Oreochromis niloticus: one gene and its partners. The protein of the gene in region 1 binds, or shares a complex with, the protein of each later gene. Links are inferred from orthologs where the notes say so. Each region holds a gene or a part of one and is shown in the gene's direction. Other genes may lie near its edges. The genes, in order: f2, fga, serpind1 and fgg.

Region 1 (7,614 bases):
GATTTTTGTTTGGCAATTTTCTCTTTTGAAGCACGCCTGCAAGATCGGGATCGAAAGCGCTACACAACATGTTGAACAATTGCAAGTGAGTTTCTCCAAAAATTAAAATGGGCTCGGGAGAAAGCCACTTATTTGGGACAATCAGAAAACAAGTCCCTGTCAAAAAGGATTCAGCGAGGTAATCCAGTCTAAATTCTTTTTTCTTTTTTGAAATGACGTCATTGCTGGCAGTAGAAACTTATTGCGTCACGAGGTTCTACTGTCAGCAAATAAAAATGGGGACTGACTGGACTGACAAAAGCTTTGGCTGACTTGACACCAGTATGCAAGATTGCACCTCCACCTTGACCTGACAAAAGGGTGGATGTATGTATGTTTCTTTTACAGGAGCAGAAAGGTGACAGCAACAGGTTGTAGGGGCTTTTGGGCCATGCTGGTTTAACCTTTTAATTGTCACTTTCTGTGTCTTTGAATTTACCAGCGGTGTGTTATTCATGACCTTGTATTGCTTACAGTGCAGAGGTCACTGTGAGAAAGTGTGCATACAGATGCGCTACGCTAACATCTATTTTTCCACAGCAGAGGGTTAATCATATGATCTAATCACATGATTTACAGCAGGACACACCGCTGGCTAATGTTTTACCTTTTCTTAAGACAGGGCCTGGAGTGAAACTACTCCAGAGGAGAATCCCTGGGAAATTTTAAGAGACAATGCACAACTTCATTGTGCATGTCTAATTGTGCTAAGCTGACATAGGGCAAAAGAGGGTTTTCCGTGGAAGCTTTCATTTTTAAATTGCAGAGACCGTGACATGAGGGATATGGAAGGACTGACGCAGATACAGACCACGACCGGGAGAGAACGCTTCAAGAGGACCAGTGAGAAGCAGGGACCATCTGCAGGACAGCAGACAAACGACAGTGGGCTGCACCACTGGGCTTCCAAAAGATTGTCACGAGGAGATTTTGAACAGCAAAAATCTTAAAATAAAATGAAAGAGTTTCGCCGTTGACGTTGAGGAAGACAACTAAGGTGTACGACGTGCTCTGCCTTAAATCTACAGCTGCGTTGGAACAGACATCGAGGGATGAAGAGAGCGTGCCAAGCTCCAAAAGTGACAGCACAGAGGGAGATCAGCGTTGGAATTATGACTCTGTAAACGGCACAGACACCAGGAGCCATGACTGGGACTGGGAATGACCATCCAATGCTTTTTCACTTTGCCATGCAAAGTACTTTGACACTCTGGAGAAGACCTTTCCTCTGTATCATTGTTGTTGCCATTTGCATGTGAGAGCTTAGATTGGGGGGAAGATTAAAGATGAACAAAGGGTGGTGGGAGAACAGTGAAGTTAGGATACACAGTGTGAAACTCCTTTAAGTGTAAAATAATGTTGATGTAATATACAGAATGTTGGGAAAGAAATTCTGGTTTTAATGTGATTCTTGATTTGAGAATCAAAGGGTGGGATTGTAAAGGAATTTCTTTCACTTATGTATTAATCACATTATTTTATTGTAATGCCTTGGTGCCACTGGATTTTAACATGTCTGACACCCATACTGTAAGACAAATGGTGGGGGTCTAGTTAGGAAGTTGGGGGAAGCAGACAACTCCACAGGAAGAGTCTTTTGTCTCTTCCAGGGAGTGGTGAATCTTAAGGTGTGAAACATCTGTGTACTGCCTTTTGTTCCTGGAGAAGGTATTTAAGTGAGAGCCACCCTACTCTCAGTGAGACTCTGCTGACCCTGCCCCGTGGTCATGCAGGCTCTCCACCAAGCTTGGTTTTCTGTTCTTTGTGTGCTTTGATTAAAGAATGTTAGCTACCGCTCACCGCTCATCTGCAGGCTTTATTTAAGTGGAAAAACTTCCACAACAAAGAATGTTAGCTACCGCTCACCGCTCATCTGCAGGCTTTATTTAAGTGGAAAAACTTCCACAACACAAGAATGATATCAGTGAGAATCTGTCTGCAGATAACAGCATCAACAGGTACAGGCAGCAACAGGAACACCAATAGATACACAGGAAGAAAACAATACAGTACAGAAAGCGTTCAGCTTGTCAAATTTACATAAATCTTCGATCGCTAGCAGTGTACCTCTGAAGTGCTGTACTGTATGTTTGTACGTTTTCTCCAACAAACACAACAATGTAGACAAAACGTTTTGCACCATCAAAGGCACCTGTGGTAGCACCCAAAAGCCAGAGGATGACGCTAACCATCGCACAAAAAGTTGGACTTCTGGACATTCTATAAGAAGGTAGAAGTTACCATATTTTTGGATCATAAGGCACACCAGATTCCTATTGCTTCCTCTACTTCTGTACCATTGATTCATTAATGTTGAATTCTCTCGCAGCTGCTCTATTTCCATGTTCTTGACCTGAAAAGAGGGTTTCATCTTTGGTTTCATTCTATAACACCGGACTTATTTTTCTACGAAGGTTTGAACTTTGAGAGAGTTTAATCAAGAGAGAAAAATGTGAAAATGTTCACGCCTGTCTAAGAAAAGTGTATAAAGTGTGTAGTGAGGGGTTTTACAGCCTTAAACATCTATAGTAATTGTAAAAAAATAAGGCTGGCTACTTTTCAGATTTCACCTATCGTGGGTTATTTTTAGAACGTAACTCCCGCAATAAACGAGGGAACTCTGTATTCTGTTTTTGATCAGTTCCGTGGTCACCCAGCATTTTCCAGAATGTCAGCATCACTTCTTTAAACAACCAGTTGGATGACTTATGCCAGTTGGCACAACTACCCACTTTCTCCTGAAGCAGGCAATTTACAAAATGTACCTAATCAGATAAATGTTAAAAGACAGCTTAACAGCAGCTGCGTCTTTTTCTCCATCAGATTCCTGTCAACTCACAATCGACACAAACACAGTAAACAGAAAACTCCAACTATCTGACAACAACAGGAAGGTAACCCATCTGAAAGAGGATCAGTCATATCCTGATCATCCAGACAGATTTGACCGTCCTCAGCTGTTGTGTAACAATGGTCTGACTGGTCGTTGTTACTGGGAGGTCGAGTGGAGAGGAAGGGTTGATATTGCCGTGAGTTATAAAGGAATCAGAAGGAAAGGAGACAAAAACCACTCATGGCTTGGAAGGAATGATCAGTCCTGGTGTCTGGGCTACTTTCATGATGGTTACTCTTTGTGCCACAACAACAGTGTAACATTCATTCGTCTCCCCTCCTCATCCTCTGTCTCTAACAGAGTAGCAGTGTATGTGGATGCTGCTGCTGGCACTCTGTCCTTCTACAGAGTCTCTTCTGACAGCCTCAATCACATTCACACCTTCAACACCACATTCACTGAACCTCTTTATCCTGGGTTTGGGCTTCAGAATGACACCTCACTGACTATATGTGACTTAAAAGAAGACACGGAGAAAAACTCAGAACTCTGAAAAACAAACAAACATTAGCAATAAGCTGCCATAGTATTTTTTTTTTCAAAAGAGAACAGCAGCCAAAGCTTTTTTGCTTTAAAATCCTCCTAATATGGCTGCTGCTTTATCTTTAGGTGTGGGACTAAATAGTAATGGCAGTGTGTGTATGTACTCCAAGCTGTAGTTTCACACAGATTATAACAGCAAATCTTTGACAGCAGTACAAATTGCACCTTCTGATGGGATCATGGAATTACACGAATTCCTTCTAAATCACTGTTACTGCAAACTGAACATCCAGCCATTTTCTTAACTGCTTGACATATTGAGGTTCTGAGAAGGGTTGGAGACTGTCCCTGTTGGTGAGAGATATGACTTTCAACTGATCTCCAGTCACCAATCATCAGACGTTGAAAACAATTGATGGTGGTCTTTTCTTGATGTCCTGCTATGGTTGAAAAATTGACTTACTGGAGGTGAAAGAGCTAAGGGCCATTTCCACACCCAAATGAAAGTCTGATGTCAAAATTTGAGTATTTATTTGAAATGTAACATCTAGTGTTGCTTATTGAGCACATGGCCAAAACAAAAAGCCATTGTAGCCCTAACACATTGGTGCATATTAACTGTGGGTGGTGATGCCTAACTCCATACTTGTGTTTTAGAGAAAACCAAATCAGCCCATAGGGGTAGGGTTTGTGTCATCTCCAATAATGAACTTGACCTAACATTTTAAAAAAAATCTTATTTTAAATGTTGAATAATTTTTGTGTATGATGGGTTTGGACAGAACGATGGATCTTTTCGCTGACTTCAGGAACCCAAGACTATGATAACTGAATCTATCTACTGCCAGGTGATAGCTTTCGCCTGTAATGAAAGACCAGAACAACTGGTTTTATTATTATTAAACGATCAAAAACACTGCAGGTGTTCGAATGTAAGAAATGTCCCAAAGATGGTACAGGCCAAATCAAGACATTTTAAGATTTTTTTAGGGACTTGTTATTTTGTAAATTGTGACTTGCCATATGAATCTCATATGTTTTAATACCAAACAATAATTCATGTATAGTTTCAGAGCCGTTGTGTTAAACTACAGCAGTATTAACTCACAGTAGGACTCGAGTTGTTGAGAAAACCGACTTATCAGTCTGGCTCAAACTTTGACCCTTTGGTCCATAATCCCCCCCCCTCCAGAGGACGGACAGAGAGACAGAGACGGACAAACAAAGTACTCTGAGTACTGCTGGATCTGGTTCTGAGGTTCTGCTCAGAGGTCTGGATCATGATGGAACCAACATCAAAACCTGCTGCTGTTCTGCTGCTGTTTCTCCTGCACAGCTGTGTAGCAAACCATGGTAATGAACTCCTTTCCTCTTTAATGTAGGATCAAGGGTATTTGCAATGTGTACAATAACAGTAATATGAATAATCTAGATCAAAATTGTACTTTGATATGAATATGTGTATGTACATGTATGTATATACGTAGCAATTCATCTATAATGCATATTGTGCCATTTGAATATGATAAAATCTTCACTGATATTAGAAAGAAAAAAAAGTAGAAAAATGCATTTTGTGGGACCACAGAATGCATTTTTGTGTAAATCCAATCCCAAAAAGTTTATATTCAAACAGACAAAAATATATTTGATCAAAAAATGGAACTTAGAAAACATGTGAAATGTTTACGCTGAGTAAATGTACTATTTCAAAAACCGTACCTCATGTTGAATTTGATGGCAGCAGCACATCTGAAAGGCCTGTGTTTACCTGTGTATAGCTCTCCTCTCCTTTATCAACTGTATGTAAACATCAGGGATGAGGAGAGCAGCTGATGTGATTTTGAAAGAGGTACTTTGTCCCATTTTTGTCTGATAGAGGGTTCTAGCTGCTCAACAGTCCCAGGTCATCTTGCATTTGATCATTTGTGTGACTACAGAACAGATTTTAAATTAAACTGGAGGCTGAGTGTTGGTGATGCTGGAAGGGTTTAACTGATTTTCCATCTTTGTTGTAGTTTTTCTCAGCAGCCACCTCGCATCACAGGTTTTGGTCCGGAACAGACGAGCCAATCAGATGTTTGAGGAGCTGAAAGCAGGTGACCACACAGCAGCTTTTCTCCTCATTATTACATCCACTATTGTTCGACATCTTGACCATTCATATGATGATGTGTCTACTGAACTGAACAACACTTAAAAGAAACACTCGTAAAATCTCCTTGATTAAAATAAATGTTTGTACAGGGAGCAGGTTCATTTCTCTCCCTTTCGTATCTACTTCAGATTCAATTGTAATCACTTACTTTAGCATGCGCTGCAGGTTTGGAACAATATTAGCTTTGAGTCTTTGTTGACAGGAGGTGGGCAGAGACTGCTAAATGTTAGCATTAATTTTGGAAAGTAAATCAAAAAGAACCAAAAAGAGCCAAACAAAGACAACAAACAACTGTGAAGTGACACAAAATGACCCTAACATGTTTTACAGGTGCTCTCTATGTTTGTGTCTCATGATACTGTCACGATTACAGTGTGTTAATGTGGATTATTTCATATCAGGGAACCTGGAGAGAGAGTGTGTGGAGGAAATCTGTGACCACAATGAAGCCGGAGAGGTGTTCATGCAGCCAGTTGAAGCAGTATGTCTTTACTTCTCTCTGCGTCAGAAGCTTTAACAGTTCTGAGACAGTTCAAAGTCTAACTGCACAACAATCTCTCTTCCTACAGGAAAAATTCTGGAGCAAATACCTGGGTGAGATATACTGCATTTAAACATCATATATATTTGATACTAAGAGATACGTATAGGTATGATTTTTTTTTTTTTTATTACAGGGAAACTATATTTTCCATAACTATATTTTATTATATTAAACAAGAAAAACATTTCTTTCTTCAATTTTCTTGTTTTGTAGAAACAACAGTTCCAAAGTCATTCAGTTAGTGATGTTCGATTCGTGAACGAATCGTTCAATACTCGAGAATCACTTTACTGACTCGTGAATCATGATTCACAAGCGCAACTGACTCACTGACTCATCATTGTTGCTGTTAGCAAACTAATTCCATTAGTAGAAATATATCTAGCTTATAATTAAAATTGTGGGGAAAAAAACAACATCCAGTTTCCTAACAAAAACATTTCTGCTCTGAACTGGAAGAAAAAACCCTGAGTAGAAGCTCACATCAAGACAATAGCTCCTCGGTTCACAGTAGCATCGTTCAGCTAGCATGCTAACAGCACATTTGAGTTACTCACCCCCTCCCTTGCTGTGCTGAATCATAGCATAAGCGAATCACTCAGGACTCACTAACCCCCTCCCTCCTGGCTCACAGCTCAAACGAGTTGAACGAATCACTGACTCACTCACCCCCTCCCTTCCTGTTACGAATCACTCACTGGCCGTTTATCAATGCCCAAGTACGCGAGTACGTACTCGCGTTCTCGGTGAGTATGTACTCGCCGAGAACGCACGGGAGTACGTACCCGCCGAGAACGCGAGCACGGACTCGCGATTTGTACAATTGGAACACCTGCGTACGTGATGATGTCACAGGTCCGGAGTTTTTACTGCCGTCCCCTCTTAATTTAACTGTGAGTAACATGTTATGAAGCTTAACTGTAATCACAGCCAAACCGGTTTACTCAGGAACAAATAAAACACTGAAATAAACCAAACATTAACATTTAGAAGTGATCTAAGTGACTTATATATCATTTTTAACCTCAGTAGTGAAACCTCTATTAATAAAAATAGTGTACATGTACATACGTGTACATACCTTAATAAAAACAACCAGGTGAGATGTTAGAACGCTTTTATTTCTATTCTAGTGGACACTCAATACTATAGACAGCTGCTGGGGTTTCTTTAACCTGAGTAGTGAGAAGTGGGTGGTGGGGGGGGGTTGAAAACGATGTGCCGGGAGTCCGCTGTTGAGTTTTGGACGAAATGCATTCTGGGATATTTAGCTGTCCCAAGTCCACACCGATGCATGCTCGATAAAACGGGCGGATCGAGAACACATCCGGGACTTTTTCGCGTTCTCGGCTTGGTCTCCGACTGATGACGTATCACGAGTACACGAGAACGCAAGTACGCACAAGTACGCATATTGATAAATGCCCACTCACTCACCCCCTCCCTCCTGGCTCACAGCTTCTTCTTCTTCTTGGTTGGCAACCAATGTTAAGGTGC
Region 2 (7,056 bases), on another chromosome or scaffold:
GGACCGCTGGCTTAAAGCACTTGTTGCAGGCTGCCGAGTTTGCATCTTTTGCTGTGAAGTACAGCCAGACTTTTGACCGTTTCGCCTTGGGCATTTTTAATCTGTAGCTCTGCTCTAAAAGAACGTACGTACCTGGCCCCGCCTACTATCCTCAGAAACGTAAAATGATTGGCTAGAATTGGCTCAGGAAAAAAAAAGCACCGAAATGTGCGCTGCTTTTCGGTCTGGTTATTACCGTTTATGTCAGAACCGGACACCGGTACCCATCCCTAATTACAAATAAATATCAAGAATATTGTCAGCAACATTACTGAGTAGAAAAGAGCGTGTGTAAAAAGGACGTAGCTATTGCAGTGTTTACAGTGTATTAGTTGGAGGAGTTGTACAGGGAGATGGCCACAGGCAGGAATGATTTCCTGTGTCGTTCAGTGGTGCTTACGGTGCGCACACACCGAACGCGATAGAGGCGGCCAGAGCGTCAGGTGTACATGTAAAGTCAATGGAAAGAGCGCGATGACACGCGATTGCGCATCCGGCGAACATGCGGAAGCAGATTTGCGTCGCGAAAACGCCAAAACCCGTGAAACGCGCGTCAGTGTACCGCGTGGGGCGCGTTTGACTCGCGAAGAAAACCACGCGTGTCAGATTGTGTGCTGCATTTTGTGCACACGCCCATACCGCGCCAACCGCTGGAGTTGGAAAATATGAACTCCGGCGTCAAATCGCGCCCCGACAACCAATCAGGAGGCCGGTGACGTGGCTGTAACCAGGTCACAGGGGCAGATCAAACCAAAGCTCTTCATTCTTCATTCCGTATGGAGGAAAAACTCATCACTGCCGTGGCTAATCACCCAGAGCTGTATGATGCCAGCTGCTACTTCTACCGAGACAGGAATAAAAAGGACCGAGCTTGGAGGCACAGAAGTGAGGAGATCGGGCAACCTGGTAAGTTCATTCATTCTCCTTTTTAATTTTCAGACTGACCCGATAAAGCCGCGCAAAAGCTAGCAAGCCCGCCTACTGTCCCGCTATTTTCCCACTGATGTACAAATACCTTTCCGCTAACAAGATAATGTGTTTATTCAGAGGACATCTGCAGCACAACACATCTGGCACAACTTCCTCCCACATTTCCGGTCCACGCGCGTGGAAAGATGCAATTTTGAGGCGCGATGGGTTTTTCTTGGACACGCGTTGAGGTGCGAATGTGCACGCGTCAAATTAGGGGCGTTTAGGGCGTTTTCGCTCGCCTCTATCGCGTTCGGTGTGAACGCAGCCAAGTCTCTCACTGAACGTGCTCCTGTGACTGACCAGCATGTCATGTCATGGAGTGGGTGGGAGGAATTATCCAACATTGTCTTTATCTTGGACAACATCCGCCTCTCCGACACCACCTTAAGGGAATCCAGCTCCATCCCCACAACATTACTGTATCGCTTTGTTTTTGATTTGATAAATATTGATGTTCCTTATATTTGGTGTTAATGTGCAGCGCTTTGGTCAGGCTGGTTGTTGTTTTTAAAAGCGCTTTATAACTAAGCCAAGAGTGAATATAAAAAAAAATGTGGGCCGCTAAAGACATTGGGGGAATGGCCCTCCCAAATGTGAAGTTGTATAATTTAGCTTTTGAAATGTCAAGACTGGCCAAGCACTGGACAGGTTCGGACTCTGAGCTGAGCTGGATGAAGATTGAACAGGAACTAGTGAGCCCTTTTACACCCTTGGATGTTCTCTCACAGGGCTCAGCAATTAATGGACAAGACTTTCATAATAACCCAGTGCTCGGGTATTCTAAAGCTGTCTGGGTAGAGGTGCACAAGATGTGTGGAGCCTCTTATTTAAGACAACCTTATACCTCGCTATGGAACAACACTGCTGTACAGATTGGGAGAAAAATGGTGTTCTGGAAGGAATGGCTTGTCAAAGGCATACACAGGATAAGTGATCTTTACTCAGGGGGAGTGTTTATGTCATTCGCTGAAATAACCCAAAAATATGGTTTGATAGGAGAAAATAATTTTTGGAAATATTTACAAATAAGGGATTGTATTACCAAAGGAAAATTTACTCAAAGCACAAATATGGTGGTGGAGTTTTTAGAATTGTCCAGTACAGCACATAGAGCAGCTGTTTTCTACAAACTGTTTAACAATCTAAAAAAAGAGATATGTGAAAACTTGAGGATTATATGGCAGAGAGATTTGAGTTGTGCAATTTCTAAAGAAGATTGGTGTAGAATTTTGTCATTCTCTGATAAATATATAAGAGAGGCCAGGGGTAAATTTACTCAGTACAAATTAATACACAGATGGTACTTCACTCCGTCCAAACTTTATAGAATGGGAATCAGTCCCAGTAATATATGCTGGAAATGTAGTTCAGATCCAGGGACATTTATGCATGCTATTTGGGAATGTGGGAAAGTTTATCCCTTCTGGCAAAAAGTATTGGACAAAATAGGAAGGTGGATTGGTTTAATAATACCCTTGTCACCAAGACTGTGCTTATTAGGGGATCGGTCGGCGTTGCCTGGGGTTTCAAAATATGACTTTGTGGTTATAAAGGTGGGGGTAATTGCAGCGGCCCAAGTTATTCTCAGTGTATGGAAGGAGCCATCTCCTCCAGAATATAATAGGTGGAAAGAAAATATGCTGAAAATGGTGTCGTATGAAAAATTCTTGGCTAGGATTAATGATGATAGGGAGGGTTTTGACAAATCATGGGGACGTGTTTTTGGCTGAGATGGTTGAAATTTATTTGGTCAGGACAATTATCTTTAGTTAAATTTTATGCTTGCTATGTTGTATGTTTGTGTAGGCACTCAGTAACGGAATAACTTAAGAATTTGATTGTATTGTCCTTTTTTTGTGTGTGTACTGATCCCAACCATGGGATTGGAAGCTGTCTTTTTTTTTTTTTTTCCTGTTGTTGTTTGGTTTGTTGTTTTGTTTTTGTTTGTATGTGGTTAAAGGTTAAAAACAAATAAAGACTTTAATTACAAAAAAAAAGCGCTTTATAACTAAAGTAGTATCCTATGGTACAAATAGATTTGTGCTTCAGTTCTGGTGATTGAAATTCCCAAAGTTTTATTTTGTGATGCTAAGCACTAATTAGCTGATATGCATCTCTGCATTTGACCTGTTCAGTTCATAAGTAGCAAGCTGCTAACTTAGCACTCCACACTTTTATCCAGAAAACATAACGTCTGGGTCTTAAAATCCAACATGGGTGCAGCCAGAAGCCTCATGTTGACGTGTAAAAGCAATGGTGGCTACATCCACTCAAGTTTCATAGTGTGAATGCCAACAAAGGAGCAGCATATACACATTTAAAAGAATGGACTTTTAAGATCTGGAGACACCAACCATTTTTAATATAAAGTCTTTGGTGACAAAGTATTTATGATTAGATTGATTTTATATACATTTACCTAATGGTTTACCTTAGAAAGAGAATAAAAATATGAAGCTTTAGCTAAGCGGCTTATACACGTACACCTTAACTTGAGAAGCTAAATCATTATTGTTATTTAAAAATTGTTATACATTTTATCATTGCATTGTTTTTTACCTGTATGTAGTTAACTTTTTTATTCTCTGGTGTTTTTTTGTGAAGCATTTTGTTATCTTTGTATTGAAAGGTAAATAAATGACATTTTACTGACGCATGTAATAATAATACAGAGAGATTCATTTATATTTTAACAAAACCCACGGTAATGCTGTAAAATGGGAGTAAATAGAAACTCTGTTCCATCATTTTAAAATCCTCTAATGTTTTTGTTGCCCTTTTCTGATTGAGTTCAGTTGAGTCAATGTTAGTGTCGTTGGTGTTTGTCACTATTTGGTTGGTGTAAAATGTACAGGAACTGACAAGAAATCCTGCTGCAACTGAACTGAGTAGGCAGCATGTTTGACTTTAGTGTGTGTGTTTGAATGCATTATTTTTGAGTAAAGATACACACAGTACAACAAACACATCGATTAGAAGCTGTTGCTCAACTCTGATCTGACCTGACCAGTGTTTGCTGATGACTCACCGGTTTGTGAAATTGAACCTGGAGGCTTCAAATGATCAGAGAGCAGCGTTAGAAAATCATTCAGCAACAACTCTTCACACAGAGAGCGAGTGACAGAAACGGCAACGATGGAGCGACTCTGTTTCCTTTTGTGTCTGATATGTGTGTCCTCAACACTGGTGAGTTTCTCTGATGTTTTTAAATAATTTTACAAAGATGTGGCACTGAAATTTTTTTTTTTTTTGTCATTTTAGTGTATGTACTGTGTTGTTTAATAAATAACAAGAATAATTATGTATTTACTGATCACTCATATGTTTATTATTTACTGATATGAATACATGAACATAGCATTTGGCTGTTCTATTTATAAAGATGTCGAGCGCACTGTCTTATTCATTATTTACTCTTTTATTTTACTACCTAAGTTTATTAGATATATTTCTGGTAATTATTATTATTATTATTATTGTTGATTTATATGAATATAGTAACAAAAGATTTAGAAGTTGTGGACGTTGGCTTGAGTAGAATGCTGAATACTGATCAATCAAAGAAACAGTCACTATCTTTAGCTGTTTTAACAATTCAAATAAAGGATGTGTAACTTAGCAGACCTAACAAAACAGAGCTTCATTTATACTTACAGTTTTTATATATATATTATTTAAAGCCAGTTAGTTAAATACTGCAGACTGATTAACTACTACTGACCTAAAAATTTTTGTATGTAATATTTAACCTCCTAAGACCCGAACTTTTCCACAGCATGCATTTTTAATTTCTCTTTGATATTTGAGCATATTGGGGCCCGATGAATGTAAAAACAAAGAATTACCAAAATGAAAAATGAGAGCCACATATGAGGATATTCATTTAAAATTTCGATAGAACAGTAGCAGCATAATGTCCTCGTAAGTGAATATCAGGCCCTTGTAGAGCAAAATTGAGTATTTTGGTCTAAATAACCCAAAATGTGATGTCCACATATGTGGACGCCAGGTAAATGGACTGATTCTTAAATAACGCTTTTCTACTCTCCCGGAGTACTCAAAGCGCTCTATACAACATGCCTCATTCACCCATTCATACAAGCACTTCTAAACACAAGTGCAACTAATAAGCATTCACACACATTCACACTCCGATGAACGCATCTTGGGGTTAGTATCTTTTCAAGGATATTTGGCATGCAGACTGAGGCAGCCAGGAATCAAACCACCAACCTTCCAATCAGTAGTTTATCTGCTCTACCACCTGAGCCACAGCCACCCCAGGGTCCTAGGAGGATGATAAGAAAAATAATTATGTACTAATAACAGTATAAAATTGAGTACATTTCAAAATAAATTTGCAATAAATAAATTTGAAAAGTATTTCTGCTTATATAATTATTGTAATTGTGTATTTTACTTTATAAATATTATTAATAAAATCTTTATTTGTGGGTAAGAAGCAAACAATTTAAGTATTTTTAGTCACTAGTATTATTCCAAAGAAACACCTCCTAATTTGAGCAGTTCAGTTGAAATTGGTTATACGTGTTATAATGTACATGTTTGATGTGCAGCATCTGTTTTTAAGATTTTTAGTTAGATTTATCAAAGAAGTTCAGTATGTATCACCAAGCCTTTAACCAGGGTTTTGTTTAAGTAGGGTTTCATTGTAAAAGTCATTGTTGTAGACCAAATGGACTAAAATAGCGGCTCTGTCACAAAGACTCTTTGTTTGCAACTATATGTGCATAGTCACCCCTCAAAAATACATTGTACACCACGAACAACCCAGAGACAATAGCTATGTTTTCTGCCCTAACTAAAACAATGTTGACTTTCTTGTCTTCGTCTAGGCCCAGATTGATCCCAGGGGAGGTCGTCCAGTGGAGCACGGCACCAGAAGTGAAAAATGTGCCACTGAGAAGGAATGGCCTTTCTGCACAGACGTTGAATGGGTATGCAGATTCCCTGTTGTCTCTCAGAGCTCAAGCTAGGCAAAGTTCTTATTGACCTCAATGAATGTGTGCAATTTTAAGATTCAATGTTTACAAGAAAGCTGGACTGGGGAAATTCCAGTTTCTGTCAGTGCAAAAGTCTAACTATGTACTTAATCGATAAGATTTCAAAATTATGTCTTAGTGTTTATATATGGTAAAGAGATGCTGCTATAACAAGTGAAGGAAATCTGTCAGCACGAGCCGATTGCAAGAATTAATGCTTAAAATGACAGAAATCTATAATAACTGGTATATTGTGAATGACCATGAGGGAGGTCTTTATGGGTAGGAAAAACTGTTAAACTTGTGAAAATACACTACAGAATGTACAATCCGGGCCAGACTGGAGCTTTTGTGCCTCTGGTTGTACTGCCAATTATTATAATAACCTGTTGTTCTGTATTTAAATGACTCTGATTTTTATGTGACACAGAAATAAGGAATAATTATGTCTTCTCTTTGGTCATCCATTAGGGCCCTAAATGTCCATCAGGCTGCAGGATCCAGGGTCTGATGGAGAAATACGATCACAATATGCTGAAGAAGATTGAGAAAATCCGCAGCCTGCTGGATCAAAACAAGGCCAAACATCGCTCCGCTGATACGGTGTCGAAACAGACCTACGACTACTTGAAAGAAAAGCTAACCACTGACGCTGGTTAGTGTGGCTTTGTGCACTTCTTCTGTTTCCCAGTCAAGAGTTTAATGGTTACAGGAACCCAGTCTAGGTGGTTATAGGATACCTGGAAGTTGTTTCACAGTTAAATAAATATCTGCATAAACTGATCAAAAGTGCAACCCTAACAAGCAGCTTTAAAGGTGTATCCAGTCATATTTAAAAGATATTTAATAGAAAGAAATGGGACATGGGAGTGCGCACCAGTTTGTGGAAGCCATCATGTTGTTTTATTCCCAGTATTATCTCAATTATTTATATCCAGCAGAACCCTCCCATCTCTGGACAGCTGAAAAAATGTGTTTAAACAAAAGTAAGAATCAGTCCATCCATTTATTAAACTAAATGTTTCCTGTTTTCTTCTACTAG
Region 3 (6,940 bases), on another chromosome or scaffold:
GCCTAGCAAGCAAAATAATGTCACACAGACTAGTAAGCATGCACACGTGAACATAGACTTCTACAAATTTTTTAAAGAGCTACAAAATAAAACACACAAGCTATATGTGCACAACAAAAAAAACAACACGAAACTTTTTCTGAATACAAACAAAAAGCCAACGTCTTTGGCAAAGCTGCTAAATTGCACATGGCATGTTAAAAAGCACTTTATGTTGGACAGTTGTTAATGAGCATTCAATCAACAAACCTGGGAGGCCATTTGGAATTAAACATTCTTAGTTTGCAGTTTGTTCCAAGTACAGTATGTTACCAAAATGCTCTTGCTCTTGTCATCTACTGCCCTCTAAGTATTCTGACTACATACATCTTTGGTAAAACCGTATCTTTGCACTAATTTGCATCTAAACTATATATAAAAAAATACCGTATTGGTTTAGTGAACGTTATCTTTCTGCAGAATTGCTAAAATGCAGTAGATTCTATCTCACCATCAGTTTGGCTCATTTTGTCTAAATTTATCTTGACATTTAATCGGGGGTTAAATCCAATATTTACAGTATGATAACTGCGGTGATCGGAAGGATTTGTGTGAAGCCATGGATGGAAGTGTATCTGTGACTCACGCCTAGTGTAGTACTCTGTCTGTTGTAGCCTGCAAAGTGAAGTATGCTCTCTGTGGCCATTGCAAGGCCAGTGTGCTGTGACAGTCCTGACACCCAGATCTGATGCTTGTTCAGATACTCCTGCAAGAAAAATCCAAATAACAGATATGACAAGAATCATTTACAGTCACTTATGCCTTGTTTACTCAAAGTAAACACTCCTTTTCAAAACAGGTAAAAGTTAATTGCTTGCTTAAAATAAATTAATAGAGGCCATCTATTAAATAAAAACGTAAAAGAAACGAACCTGTAGGTGAGACTTTGTGACCGAAGGAGCCCATTTCATTGCTTCTTTCAGGATCTCACCACAGCGAGCAGCAAAGTCTTTTACTATGCTCTAAAAGGAGTTGGGAAATAAAGACATAGTGCTACTTTACTAAGAACAAGAGTGGCGGACAATCACTGAGTAAAATAAATTGTAGCACAAACTAAATGCCATTTGTTTATTTAATTCCTACAGTTTTTTCAAGAGCCCAAACCTCAGTCCACCATTATAATACAGTTTACACTTAAAAAAGAACTCTCTCCCTACTATTGTTGAAGCCCATGCTATGCTGCCCTCTAGTGGTCAGAAGTGTAATAACAGGCCAAACTCACCTCTCTGGCTTCATATGTGTCAGGAACAGTGATCCTGTATGGGGTGTCGGGAATGTCATAGTATGGCTGGTCCTTGTGAATGTCCTAAAGTAAAGGAGAATACATTTTGTTCACATGAAGTCTATATTTGCATCTATTTAAACACTTCTATGAGATCTCATCAGTTTCCACAAAAACAACTTAAAACCTCTTTTATTCGACCACAGCACAGCGACTTGCTGACTCTGCATTATGTTATCGGTACAGGGACCGAGAACCAGGCACTCAAACAAAGAACCTGGCACTTTGTCTATCACATCAAGCCTCTCCTCATACTCACAGCACTTAGTGACAGAGAGAGTGTCTGCAGAATATCCAACATGGTCTTCAACACACGACCGCTCCAGAGTAGATGAGGGAATCTGGTTCAGATAGAAGGACATAAAAACGCTTAGAAAAAATGATAAGCGAGGAAAAAGCAGACAAGGTAACTAAATGATTTCTACTCACGTCTCAGCCAAACCAGAGAGGTATTTGTCTGCTACTCTGCGGATCCTCTTGTGGGTATGATTGAAGTTCACCAACAAGAATTGGGCATGACGCTCTAATTCCTCTTCGTGTTCTTTGGTCTTTGCCTGAAAGCATAAGAAACAAAATGATTTTTTAAAATCTGAACTAATTAAATTTTGCAAGCTCCACATATTTTACTATTTAAATGCCCCCTACCTTCTCAGCCATCATCTGAAGGAAAACATCAAATACCTTGTCGCCAACACAAATGATGCACTGCATCATGCCTGCAAAAAAGGAAAACTGAGAAAATGGGCTCCATATATTAAAAAGACAACAGGATGATTAAATTGATTCGGGCACAAAGCTCTCACCAGATTTGTCTTTCTGGATTGCTTTGTCTTCAAAGTATCGAAACATGACCTGGAACCTATCAGGATCATTGGACCGCAGCATCCTGAGAGAGATAACAGGAGGAAATTACATTTTTGCACATTTTGACCTCACTTAAGCAATCAAAGGTGAGAAAAGACAAGGAAATTAAGCTCATGCCAATAGAGCTGACCTCATGTATTCTAATCGGTAGACGGAGAGCAGGTATGTGGACATGGCAAAGTCTAGCTTGTTAATGAGGGCAGACCCTTCAGGAGGTGGGTCAAGGAGATTGCTGATGGTTGACCGCAGTTCACTTAACTCTGCCTGGAGGAAAAAAAGATTTGAACACCTAAATATTAATTCTGGTATTCCTTTAATTAAAAAAAAACAAATCAAAACTATTTTGAACACTGTACCGGGGTGACGGTGTCGTTTTTCAGAGCTGAGTTGTACTGTAGCTCAGACCGCAGAGGTTCTCCACTGGGGAAGGTGAGAAGAGGAGACTTGGTAGCAATCTCACACACACCTTCATACCACTCCTCTGGCCAAAGCCCTAAAAAGACAAAAGATATTTCAAGAAATATCCACATATCAACACAGCCATGGCAGATGTACCAGGAAAAAAAAAAACAACCTTTCTTCAAAATAAGCTGAATCCATTTTGAACAGAATTTGGAACGTTTCTTTTATTTTTAGATATTACTTAATTTAACATCTATTACTGATCAATTTCGCTGATTTATCCTCAAAGTTTGTGCAACAACTTTGTTTTCAGAATACTTTATTAATCTCTAAGGAAATTATATACAATCATGTTTAATAATTTCACTGTAAGCCAACAATTTCATTCTAAATTATAACTGTTAATGTATTTCTTTTAATAACTTCTGACTACTATGTACTACTGACTATGCATCTATTACCTTTCCCTTCTAGATCTTGTTAAATTCTACTCAGTTCTTCACTCCTTGCAAAGTTAATTGAGCTAACCACTCCACATACCCCTGGCTACTGCAGAAGCACCTCCTAGTACTTCTGGTTAGACACTGACACAGACCTATGAATCTTATGTTTATGGTGAATCTTAAAATTAAATTAGGTTTGTGACAATTGATCTATCTTTATATTTTTGGTGTAAAATCTTCATGATTATTATATTTCTTGTAATTCTGCTCGTACAAGTCTAAGCAAACAACTACATGATCTATGTTTTACAAATGAAAGCCACAGATGCCTTGAGATTCCAAAACATCAGTGCTGAACACGGCAAGGAGCCTCATCATGGGAGGAGCTTAACCCCATAAATGCCAACTCATGGCACGAAGCTTTGAATATCACTTCACATTCATGTGATAGGATATGGTGCTCAACCATTCTTCTGTATGCAAAGCATATGAAAATTACTTAATTCTTTGCTTACCTGATCCTTCCACAGCGAAACCCATGACCACTGAGTACAACCAGAAGTCCCTAAACAGCTTCTGGAGGCGGGGCTTGGCCTCTTTGATTGGTGGAAGCCTCCTGGTCAACTATGAGTCAAAAAAAGTCAGACAAGACAGATAATTGCTCTAAATCAATAACTGTTATTGCTTAAATCAATAATTTTATGCAAAAAGTGAATATAAAAAACAAAATACTGGTACTCCCTTTGAGTACAAAAGGTTATTACACACTGGATATTATGCATACTAACAAAATGTAAGGCTTACAAATAAATTAAAAGCTGCAAACAATGTGTTACTGAACTACAGGACATTTAACTGTTAGTAAAATATATTCTTAACAAGTGAGCAGAATGGTGAAGAGTTAAAGGTTGGAGTCAGTCACAGGACGTTTTGGTCTGTTTGATCTGGTTTATTTGTTCAAGAGAAGCCCACATCAAAGTTCAGTGGTGTATTCAATTCTTTGCTCTTAGTCCTACAAACAGAAGCAACAGAAGGCTTTACACCACGACCCAGTAAAGGTAAGACATTACCGTTATTACAGACAAACTGCTGTTTTCTTTTAAAAACTAGGTTAAATTTTTCAACAGCAAGGAAATTATTTCATATCTACAGATTTTTAAGCATCTAATTGAATCAGATCTATTTAAAGTGGTCGTGCTAAATATGCATTTCCTCTGCCTCAGCCATTAGGATGTGGGTCATCACTCTCATCTCAGCAGTCTGTCTGCTGGCTAGTCCATCTCTGGCTGGAATCAAAGATCTCAGCTCTCACTTCAGTGACCCCAAACCGGACCCCAGAGGCTTCGAAGCAGATGGCACAGTGGACATAGAGTCCCTACCCTTGGAGTACCACAAGGAAAACACTGTCACTAATGACCTATTTGATGGCTTTGAGGATGAAGATTATATTGACTTTGATAAGATCCTAGCAGCAGGCAGTGATGACTACATGTGAGTATTAGTGAATTTTTTTACTGGGGTGGATTGTTTAAATATGTTTTTGTAAAAATACGTAAAGTGTATATTAACTAAAGTTCGTTTACAACATAAACACTTGTACGCTTGTGATATTTTTCTTGGTAGTGTTGATGATGTAACTGTGTATATGTGTATACACATCAACTATGGGACACATGTACAAACCACAATAAACAGTTACTTATTACTCTACTTTTAAATGGTTAGATGATGAATCTAAACATGTCTTTCAGTGAAGGGGATGAGGTCGATGAGATTGCCACACCAGCCCCCGACATTGACATCTTTGCCGAACCCTCTGACCCAAAGATTCGCCGTGCCAGACTTCTGCGACTGTTCCACGGTCGTTCTCGCCTTCAGCGCCTCAACATGGTGAATGGCCGTTTTGGCTTTAACCTCTATCGAAGTCTTCGAAACAACGTCAACCAAACTGACAACATCCTGCTAGCACCCGCTGGGATCTCCATTGCCATGGGGATGATGTCTTTAGGTGCGAGATCTGAAACCCATGATCAGATCTACAAAGTTCTGGGATTCGCTGAGTTTGTCAACGCCAGTCATCACTATGACAACACAACAGTGCACAAGCTTTTCAGGAAGCTGACACACAGGCTCTTCAGGAGGAAGTTTGGCTACACATTGCGCTCTGTAAATGATGTCTACGTCAAGAACAGCATCTCTGTGAAAGACACTTTCCGGGCAGAGACAAAGAATTACTATTTTGCAGAGCCTCAGTCAGTGGACTTCAGAGACCCTGCCTTTCTGGCTAAGGCAAACCAGCGCATACAAAAGCTCACTAAAGGGCTGATTCGGGAACCGCTGAAGAGTGTGGATCCAAATATGGTGCTGATGCTGCTTAACTACCTGTACTTCAAAGGTGAGAGAAAAAAATATGACATGCTTTCAAAAGACCCCTATGATTTCAACATGGCTGTTTGACTTTATTTGTTTGACTAAACAGGAACTTGGGAGCAAAAATTCCCTAAAGAAATGACTCACTATCGCAACTTCAGAGTTAATGAAAAAACAAATGTACGTGTGCCAATGATGACAAACAAGGGGAACTATCTAGCTGCTGCCGATCATGAATTAGACTGTGATGTCCTACAGGTGGGTGGCCACATACTGATTCAATGCTGAGTGCCAATCTTCAACAAAAATGTTCTCACAAACAGGGACGCGTAAACAGTTTAACCTAACAGCACCACAAAAAGATCAAATTTCCTTTTTTCAGCTCCCATACACAGGAAACATCAGCATGCTCATCGCCTTGCCAAGGAAGCTCACTGGCATGAGGTCCTTGGAGCAGGAGATCTCTCCCACTGTCGTCAATAAGTGGCTCAAAAACATGACAAACAGGTCAGCAGCTGAGTCACTAAAGTTTTTCAGTAGAGGATCTTTTAAAGCTACTGGTTTATGGGGAAAAGTGGAAAAAAAGTTTGGATATTGTTGCGATTTAAAATGATTCAACTATGACAAACTTCTATGTCCCCTTCAGGACACGTGAGATTGTGCTACCTCGGTTTAAACTGGAGCAAAACTATGACTTGATTGAAAACCTGAAGAAGATGGGCCTCACTGGCGTGTTTGAGGAGACTGCAGATTTCTCTGGCATGACCTCTGAAAGAGTTTCCATGAACTGGGTGAGTAATAGCAAATCGCTGACAAATGATCATGATCTGTGATCCATTCAGTCACCTGGACATCTTATTAACAGCATACAATACTTCCTGCTGTTTCAAAGTAATGTACAGATTCTGATTTCTCTCTGTAGCTGAAGCACCAAGGAATCATCACTGTGAATGAAGAGGGAACAGAAGCTGCTGCTCTGACTCAGGTGGGCTTCATGCCGCTCTCCTCTCAAATTCGCTTCGTCGTCGATCACCCCTTCCTCTTCCTGATCTACGAGCACCGCACGGACTGCCTCGTGTTCATGGGCCGGGTGGCCAATCCCTCCCAGAGCTAAACAAAAAGTTGTGTTGCACAGCTAAACTATTCATGACAAGCCTGCTTAGAATGACCGACTAGATTTGGCTGATTTTAGAAGTTGACATCAAGTAAAGAATATTTCATGCGAGTATAGCCTCCAACTGAACATTTAAAGTTCTCCCTTACATAACTCAAAGCACAGAGTGTCTCTGAATAACTCAATAAATGCTTATCTGTCTGTTAATGTTTTATCTTCTGCAATGACACTAATGTAGAAGCGTGCTCAGAAAACAGAATTTTGAAAATGTTCTTACTCTAAGGCTGAAGTGAAACAGTCACTTCTGTGAATAAAGCTTAATCTTGTAAAAAAATTTTTTTTTTTTCAACAAAGGGGGTGCTCTAAAAAAGAAAATTTCAACTTTACTATTTAAATATTTAATGTGTTAAGACCTAAAACTATTAC
Region 4 (7,092 bases), on another chromosome or scaffold:
GCAGACAAACACAGGTAGTTGCATTATTAACATAAAAAGTTTACTTCCACAAAAACACACCAGCAGAACCAAATAAAGTCTGTGTGAATTACGCTGACTGCAAATCTGCTACATTTCCTGATATTAGAAGAATTACTGATGATGATAATGTACTTTTTACACATTAGTTTGTGATATGTGGACAACAAAGTGTCAGTGTCCCCGCATGTGTTACTGCAGATCACACCACCTTCAGCTGAGGCGACTTAACCGCGCGCGGCCGCAGGTTGAACCCGAATGTGGCCAAACCGCAAACCTTTGCCCTCCATCCTGGGGAGATTTACGCCACGGTCAAACAGCTCCAGAATTATAGTTGTGACCGCTGAAGCATCCAAACAAGGCTCTTTAAATTTAATTCCTGGTCAGACGACCTGTGAACTATGCTGACTTTGTTTTTCAGCTTTGGTGCTTAAGTTGATTACTGACAGAAGGACGTATTTTCTTAAGATGTGGAATGTGAATGTTTTCATTTTAAAGAAAACTGCATTTATTCTGCATAATATTCTTTGGACCTATTTCCAGAGTATGCACAGTCTTTATAAAGAAAACTAAAAACTTGCTTTTTTTGGTTGCTTTGCATCCTGATAACGTGCGACAGTGTAAGAATGTCAGTCGGGCATGAGTGTGTGAACGCATCGACAACAGCCCAAAACACATCTAAACATCCTGAACCCGGTGTTTAGAGAGCGTGCTCGTGTCTTCATGGCACTTAAAGAAAGAAAGAGGCACTTTCCATCTGGTGTCGCTAGAAAGTTCAGCAAAAGTTCAACACTGTTTAGGTTCATGGGCCTGGCAGTTCATTCTCAGGTCAGCGAGGCTTTATATCCATCCTGGGCCTGTTTTTTTCCACATAATAAAACCTGGTCACACAAAGGTAGTCAAGGTTTATCATTTAATGTCAACATGGGGCCCACAGATCAACCATTATTAAGCTATATTAAGTCACATGTATCTTTAGTGTTTGTTCTGTTGTAATAAAAAGAGGTGTGTTTGCTCACAGCACCTTGAAGAGATGGCCACGGAAAAACAATTTTCAGCAGCTACACCTATTTAAAACTACACAGCATCTTTGGAAGGATCTGTTTACTTACTCGTGTCTGCTTATTTGATTTTTCCACCATACTCTGAAATTATAGCAGTGAAGTCTGCAAACAATTTGACAGTAGAAATAAAAGTCAGTTCATTCATAAAAAGACAGTAGAGGCACTTTCAAACTCATCTGCCTCATGAGAGCATGTTTCCTGTAACTGTGACTCAAACAAGCAGAGCAGCATGAAACTGGAGCCTTGTGATGAGCTGAATTGGTGCTTTTACTGGGCACACACAAAATTGCATTAGTGCATGCATTTTTACCTGTAGTTTAGTTTAATATTAACTGTATTGTCTCGCTCTCTGTTAGTGGGGGTTAGCTTAACCCTCCATGGTATGATCCATGATCCATCCAACTGATCCTTAAAATTTCATTTCATCTTTTTTAATTTAATGGCACAAGACTATTCAGTAAAATGAGGCACAGAAGAGAGTTTGACCTTTGACCCAGGGATGAAGAGATCCTTCCGGGAGCCAAATCCGGATTGGACGTAATGCCAGCTGCTTTTAAGACTAGTGTCTCCTTTATCTCTTTAAATTGAAATAAACATATTAAAAATATGCATGTACAGAAATATATATTTTTTTAAATGTTAAAGTATTTAAAGAAGTAAGACACACTTTGATTTAACTTATTTACCAAAACAGCATTGTTGTAGGTCATTTTCTACAACATTATGCAGTTACATTACAATAATGTTTTGTTTCTAAACTCTGGTCCTTGGAACTGCTTGTTTTAGGTGTTTAGGTGCTTCTATGCCCCCACAGCACTTGATTTAAGTGATTTAATACCCACCTGATCATTTGACGTGTATGAGCAGGGATTACAGTCACGTTCCCAGAGCATTGTGTAATGGCATATATAAGCTGGCAGCATGAACTTGTAGAGAAATGGGTAGAGGATATTAGCTAATTTGATGATTGCTTTGTCAACAGGGAACCCCAAGGGTGAAATTCATGTGATAGAGTAGTATAAAGGCTAGTATAAAATTCCTCATGATGTATGCATGTATCAGTATGTGTATTTTTATGTATGCAGTAGTTAGCAAGAAGGCTTGGGGCTCAAATGCACTGGATTCATGCTTCACTAACTCAGTTAGCTGTTATTTCCCAACACCATAATAAAGGTCAAAAGCCCTCTGGGCCTGTGGACACTGTGGAGTAAAGCTGAATATGTGTTCATGTATTGTCTTATGGGTATTAAACAACTAAGTACTATTGATAAATACAATAAAAGTTCCCTCAGAAACACAGAAGACACGGAAGTCATAGAATCATCTAGAAAATTACATGTGCATTCATGATGAGATTACTTCAGATGGACTGAATAGGACTATATGTCCCTCTAAAATAAAGCAACTTTATAAAATGTTTTATAATGCATTCATCTACAACAAAGCTGTTGTTATTTACATTGACTTGTCCATGAAATTGAAATTAGCCCCTGACAAAGAGTGCTCCAGTTACTCATTAATCATATCTGAGTTTTCTTTGACCACACGCCACAGTTTGGGGTTTTTTCTTTGCTCTTTCATGTTGGTCTGTATTTGCTTCAGTTCAGCTCCAGCTCAGTCAACAATAACGCAGCAGCACATGTGCTCCTTATAAATTAAGCCTGTAACTTAGCTGCTTTGTTTTCCTAGAAAAGTAGATTTTTCCTGCAGAATTAAGGAAGAGGATCGTTAGTGTTCCCCTGCATACATACAGACTGCAAAGTCCACAGGGATTATTCCACTATGATTCTTTCCAACAGCATTTTGTTCACAGACACTTTGTAACAGAAACTTGTTTTCATGAAACTTCAGTAAGGCAAAGCTTACTTCAGTGCTGTCTAATGTAGCTTATTTTCAAAGATTTAGATAGTTCAGAAAATTGTGTTATTGTTGTGTCCCAAGTTTTCTGTTCTTGCTCAGCAACAACAAAAAAATAACCGTTTAAAAGTCAGTTCACTGCATCAGACTGAATCCTGCTAAAGTCTTCAGTTTGTTGGTGTGTTTGGTGTCCTGTATGTGTCTTGTGGGGTCTATTGTGATTCCACTCCCACTAGTGGTTGGTTTTACATGCCTGTGCAGTCAACTTTCAAAATAAAAGTTTCAAAGTATCACAGCCTGCCCTGTTACACTAAAACAGTTTGTCTAGTAAACATATTTTAGCGACATTATAAAGCCTGGTGGATTCACTACAGAAAGGTTTTAAAGCTGTTTGCATTCAGTGATGGCTTTACAAGCAGGCTGCGCGATGTAGTTATGATGAAGGCATTTCCTGCTTTATACCATGACCGTATCATCACATGTCAGAAACCACAGATAACTACTTTGCTAGGGTTAGGGGACCCTTGTTAGGATAGTAAAGAATAGTAATAATTTTAGCCGGCTGACTGAGAATCAAAGTCATCATTAAATAAAATTACTGTTGTCGGGAGAAAAGTCTCATTCAGGCAAGTCTGAATTAAGCAAGCCAAAGTCAGTAATCATCATAATGATTTATTAATGTGTGCTGTTAATAATTGTAATTGTTCATCAGTCTAAAATATAAAAACAATGTGTTTAATCCTGTTTTTGTTCACAGGAACATATTATGGCATTTTTTCAAGGAATGCTTGTTGTCTGTGTTTTATCAAGCAAAGTTTAAGAAAAGTAAATAAACTATGTTACAATCTGAACTCTTGGCTAGAGCGAGCTCAATTGCGCTGGTTTCCAAATTCAATAATACTGTCAGGTCTTAAAGTGCGAGTCACGATTTCTTCCAACTTGTTGACAGCTTTACCATCATCAGAGTTTACAAAGACGTACAGTACATGGCAATCTCATAGAAGTGTCCTTTACCACAGCTATCAGTTGCAGACCGCATCAACTCCTGGCAATGATGTCTGTTGGACATTTGAGTCATGGGATTTTCACAACAAAGTGAGTGGGATTGTTTACCTATGAACCCCTTATCAAAGTCTGGACTGAGGACCTTGTTCAGATAAATAACCAACAGAGTCGAGCTTCTCTTCATTCTCCAACAAGACGAAAACACAACTGGCGGCCAAAGCAACATGGCTCCATCACTTCTTACAACAGCAGGAGGACTTTTGTTACTTTTCTCCTTCTCGTCAGCAGTAAGTCACTGAGCACTCTTGCAGTTTTGCTGATGTAGTTTTATTGAGCATAAAAATTATATTTATTGTTCCTTTTTTTTGTGCAGCAAATCCGAGGAGACAACATACAAGAATGCACCCCCAATGATGGCTTTGTAAGTGCGCAACTTTAAATCAAAGCTTCTTCCAGTATGGATTCTATTATTATAAAAGCACACCATCATAAAGAGTTTTGTTTGTTTTGTTGACATGCTCCATCTGTGTTTAGGGAAAATACTGTCCAACCACATGTGGAGTTGCTGATTACATGCAAAGATATACAGAAATGGTGGACCACGATTTGGACCAGTTGCTAAGGGAACTGGAAACAATTGCCAATTTGACTCGAGGGGCTGAAGAAACAATTACTTACATGAAAGATACAACTGTGGCACATCAAAAGAGCTCTGACCCAGGTAACGCAGTTATTTTGTGACGTTTAATCATCTTAACACTTACATTAATGCGATCAGGTTGAACAGCATATTGATGCGAAATCGAGAATACAGTCAAACCGGCTCATTTTTTCCATTTCAGACGTGCATTTCAAAAAGTCAACAAGTATCCTGGATGATGTTGTTCGGTTTGAGAAGACCATAATTGCTCAAGAACAGCAAATATTGTAAGTTACCTTACCAAAAGTTCAATGCATACTCTTACAACAGTTAGTTACTCCACTGCATTTAGTTACAATGCTCGTTTGTTGATTGATTTTTTTAAATCAACGACATATAAATTATTCTTTTTTTAATATAATGTGTTGTTGCTGAATAAACATGAACTTCTGTCAGGTTCTCAATGTGAAGATGCAAAACACAAAACTCTAAAGGAAGCTTGAAACTGAATTTCTATACATAGCAGCATCAGTGTCCACCTATTCCCACAGTTCAGTGTACTCAGGAGACATTTGTTACCCACACTACGTCCCTAAAAATCTATTGACCTTATACGTTAAATTAGATCTTTGTATAAGTTCAGGTTCATACTTAGGATTCATCTCAGCTTTTTATCTGTGTATAAAACCAAGGTACAGCTCATAGACTGTAATCCTCTCTTTCCAGTGAACTTCAGAACGTAATCTCCTCCAATGAGAGAAGAATGGCAGACTTGAAACAGCTCTCGAATCAGCTGCAGCAGAAATGCAATGAGCCCTGCAGAGACACAGTTGAGATCCAACCCACCACAGGAACAGGTAAAAAAAGAAGAAGAAGAAGAAATAATATGACCTCTAGGTTATTTCTGTTTCACAAGAAGTTTCTCAATCTTGTCTCATCTGAACAACATTTGTTGTCTTTCAGCATTTAGTCACAGGCTAAAATCAATATGCTGCTTCAGAGCAGAGCAAACATTTATCCTAGATGTAATGTCCTGTGACCTTTTGTAGTGGATGTGATTACATAATTATTTACCCAACTTAGAAAATATTCCGGTTTTTGTGTTTCATAATAGGCTGCTCATTTTTAAAAAATATGTTTTTCTAATCAGACTGCCAGGACGTTGCAAACAAGGGCGCCACCACCAGCGGTCTTTACTATGTGAAGCCATTAAAATCAACGGAGCAGTTCCTGGTCTATTGTGAGATTGACAGCTTTGGACGTGGCTTCACAGTAATACAAAGAGTACGTATCATTGATCTTACACTTAGTGATTCCTGTGTATTTTATCTATTTTAATTAATCTTTACATTTATGTAAAATTAAATATTCACTACAATTTTCATTAAGTCATGAAGGCATTAAATCATGTTTTGTTAACTAAGTGGTGAAACCACCCAATAAACTGATGACTCTGATCACGCCTTCCTGCCTACAGAGACGTGATGGCAGTCTGGACTTCCACAAGAACTGGGTCCAGTACAAGGAGGGCTTCGGTTATCTCTCACCAGATGACACCACAGAGTTCTGGTTAGGTAACGAGAAGATTCACGCGCTCACTACCAGCACCAACTTCCCCACTGTGCTCAGGATAGAGCTTGTTGACTGGGAGGGCAACAAAAGGTACACACACACACACACATGATAACAGATTATGTAAGAAAGGGACTTGTGGACAAGGCAAACATGACCGCTCTAGTAGCGAGGTTACCTTAGAGGAAGAAAAGAGATGATTCAACAGTTGTTACCACAAACTAACTTTAGATCCACGATTCTCTGTGGCCGTATTTCTCCAGGTATGCCGACTATAACATGTTCAGAGTGGGGCCAGAGATCGACATGTACCGGATGACCTATGGTTTCTACTTCGGTGGAGATGCAGGAGATGCATTTGATGGTTTTGACTTTGGAGATGACCCCAGCGACAAGTTCTACACAGCACACAACGGCATGCAGTTCAGCACCTTTGACAAGGACAACGACAAGTACGACGGCAACTGTGCTCAGCAGGACGGCTCTGGGTGGTGGATGAACAGATGTCATGCTGCACATTTGAATGGAAAATACTACCAGGGTAAGACCCTCCTGGCTAAAAGCAGCCACAGTTAGCATAAACAGAGACAAAAGTACTAATTAATGTGAGCTCTAAACTGTTTGCATTATCTTTATGCAGGTGGCAGGTACACTGAAAAGGATGCTGGTGAATTTGGCTTCGACAACGGCATCATTTGGGTCACGTGGCACAACCGCTGGTACTCCCTGAAAGAGACCACCATGAAGCTCATTCCCCTCAGTCGCATCACAGCAGGAGGACAGCAGGCTGGAGTCAAACAGTTTGGTGGACTTGGAGACGCTTAAAAAAAGGGACCAGGTTTTTGTTATGCTCTCACTAACAGCCCTGAAAACTCCTTAGATTAAATAAAATGCCTCCATGGAAACTTACTGACTTTTTGTTTTTCTGTAATGTCT

The links.
Region 2: the proteins of f2 (region 1) and fga are in contact, whole or in part, in a crystal structure (PDB 2A45), measured with the Homo sapiens proteins. The link is inferred for Oreochromis niloticus from reciprocal best matches to the Homo sapiens genes F2 and FGA. Residues at the interface, in NP_000497.1 of Homo sapiens: Phe382, Lys384, Ser385, Gln387, Leu423, Arg425, Tyr434, Glu439, Lys440, Ile441, Ser442, Met443, Lys470; in NP_000499.1 of Homo sapiens: Trp52, Pro53, Phe54, Cys55, Ser56, Asp57, Glu58.
Region 3: the proteins of f2 (region 1) and serpind1 are in contact, whole or in part, in a crystal structure (PDB 1JMO), measured with the Homo sapiens proteins. The link is inferred for Oreochromis niloticus from reciprocal best matches to the Homo sapiens genes F2 and SERPIND1. Residues at the interface, in NP_000497.1 of Homo sapiens: Lys384, Ser385, Pro386, Gln387, Leu389, Leu390, Cys391, His406, Cys407, Tyr410, Pro412, Trp413, Asp414, Lys415, Leu423, Arg425, Ser430, Thr432, Arg433, Tyr434, Lys440, Ile441, Ser442, Met443, Asn458, Leu459, Lys470, Trp511, Ala513, Asn514; in NP_000176.2 of Homo sapiens: Glu75, Asp76, Asp77, Asp78, Tyr79, Leu80, Leu82, Ile85, Phe86, Asp89, Asp91, Val305, Glu306, Met307, Thr308, His309, Gln327, Asp343, His361, Lys362, Arg388, Thr457, Val458, Gly459, Phe460, Met461, Pro462, Leu463, Ser464, Thr465.
Region 4: the proteins of f2 (region 1) and fgg are in contact, whole or in part, in a crystal structure (PDB 2HWL), measured with the Homo sapiens proteins. The link is inferred for Oreochromis niloticus from reciprocal best matches to the Homo sapiens genes F2 and FGG. Residues at the interface, in NP_000497.1 of Homo sapiens: His450, Pro451, Arg452, Arg461, Arg486, Ala489, Ala490, Leu493, Ile530, Val531, Glu532, Arg533, Cys536, Asp546, Asn547, Met548, Phe549, Cys550, His605, Phe607, Arg608, Leu609, Lys610, Lys611, Trp612, Lys615; in NP_068656.2 of Homo sapiens: Pro439, Ala440, Glu441, Thr442, Glu443, Tyr444, Asp445, Ser446, Leu447, Tyr448.

The regions. Positions count from the first base shown.
Region 1 is NC_031986.2:26,272,762-26,280,375, reverse strand, and holds the start of f2 (prothrombin), read left to right. Parts: upstream 1-4,610; 5' UTR 4,611-4,695; coding exon 4,696-4,768; intron 4,769-5,433; coding exon 5,434-5,514; intron 5,515-5,974; coding exon 5,975-6,054; intron 6,055-6,142; coding exon 6,143-6,167; intron 6,168-7,614. UniProt on the Homo sapiens protein: Thrombin, which cleaves bonds after Arg and Lys, converts fibrinogen to fibrin and activates factors V, VII, VIII, XIII, and, in complex with thrombomodulin, protein C. Functions in blood homeostasis, inflammation and wound healing.
Region 2 is NC_031967.2:50,326,307-50,333,362, reverse strand, and holds the start of fga (fibrinogen alpha chain), read left to right. Parts: upstream 1-4,132; 5' UTR 4,133-4,146; coding exon 4,147-4,197; intron 4,198-5,867; coding exon 5,868-5,969; intron 5,970-6,485; coding exon 6,486-6,669; intron 6,670-7,056. UniProt on the Homo sapiens protein: Cleaved by the protease thrombin to yield monomers which, together with fibrinogen beta (FGB) and fibrinogen gamma (FGG), polymerize to form an insoluble fibrin matrix. Fibrin has a major function in hemostasis as one of the primary components of blood clots.
Region 3 is NC_031977.2:26,090,362-26,097,301, reverse strand, and holds serpind1 (heparin cofactor 2), read left to right. Parts: upstream 1-3,929; 5' UTR 3,930-4,088; intron 4,089-4,253; 5' UTR 4,254-4,261; coding exon 4,262-4,521; intron 4,522-4,781; coding exon 4,782-5,425; intron 5,426-5,509; coding exon 5,510-5,658; intron 5,659-5,782; coding exon 5,783-5,907; intron 5,908-6,046; coding exon 6,047-6,191; intron 6,192-6,322; coding exon 6,323-6,514; 3' UTR 6,515-6,845; downstream 6,846-6,940. Other genes in the region: pi4kab (phosphatidylinositol 4-kinase, catalytic, alpha b), read right to left, coding at 626-745, 912-1,001, 1,262-1,345, 1,581-1,662, 1,751-1,875, 1,967-2,037, 2,125-2,207, 2,316-2,449 and 2 more. UniProt on the Homo sapiens protein: Thrombin inhibitor activated by the glycosaminoglycans, heparin or dermatan sulfate. In the presence of the latter, HC-II becomes the predominant thrombin inhibitor in place of antithrombin III (AT-III).
Region 4 is NC_031971.2:14,055,020-14,062,111, reverse strand, and holds the start of fgg (fibrinogen gamma chain), read left to right. Parts: upstream 1-4,070; 5' UTR 4,071-4,168; coding exon 4,169-4,231; intron 4,232-4,317; coding exon 4,318-4,365; intron 4,366-4,478; coding exon 4,479-4,665; intron 4,666-4,786; coding exon 4,787-4,871; intron 4,872-5,310; coding exon 5,311-5,441; intron 5,442-5,734; coding exon 5,735-5,868; intron 5,869-6,061; coding exon 6,062-6,246; intron 6,247-6,419; coding exon 6,420-6,697; intron 6,698-6,796; coding exon 6,797-6,981; 3' UTR 6,982-7,092. UniProt on the Homo sapiens protein: Together with fibrinogen alpha (FGA) and fibrinogen beta (FGB), polymerizes to form an insoluble fibrin matrix. Has a major function in hemostasis as one of the primary components of blood clots.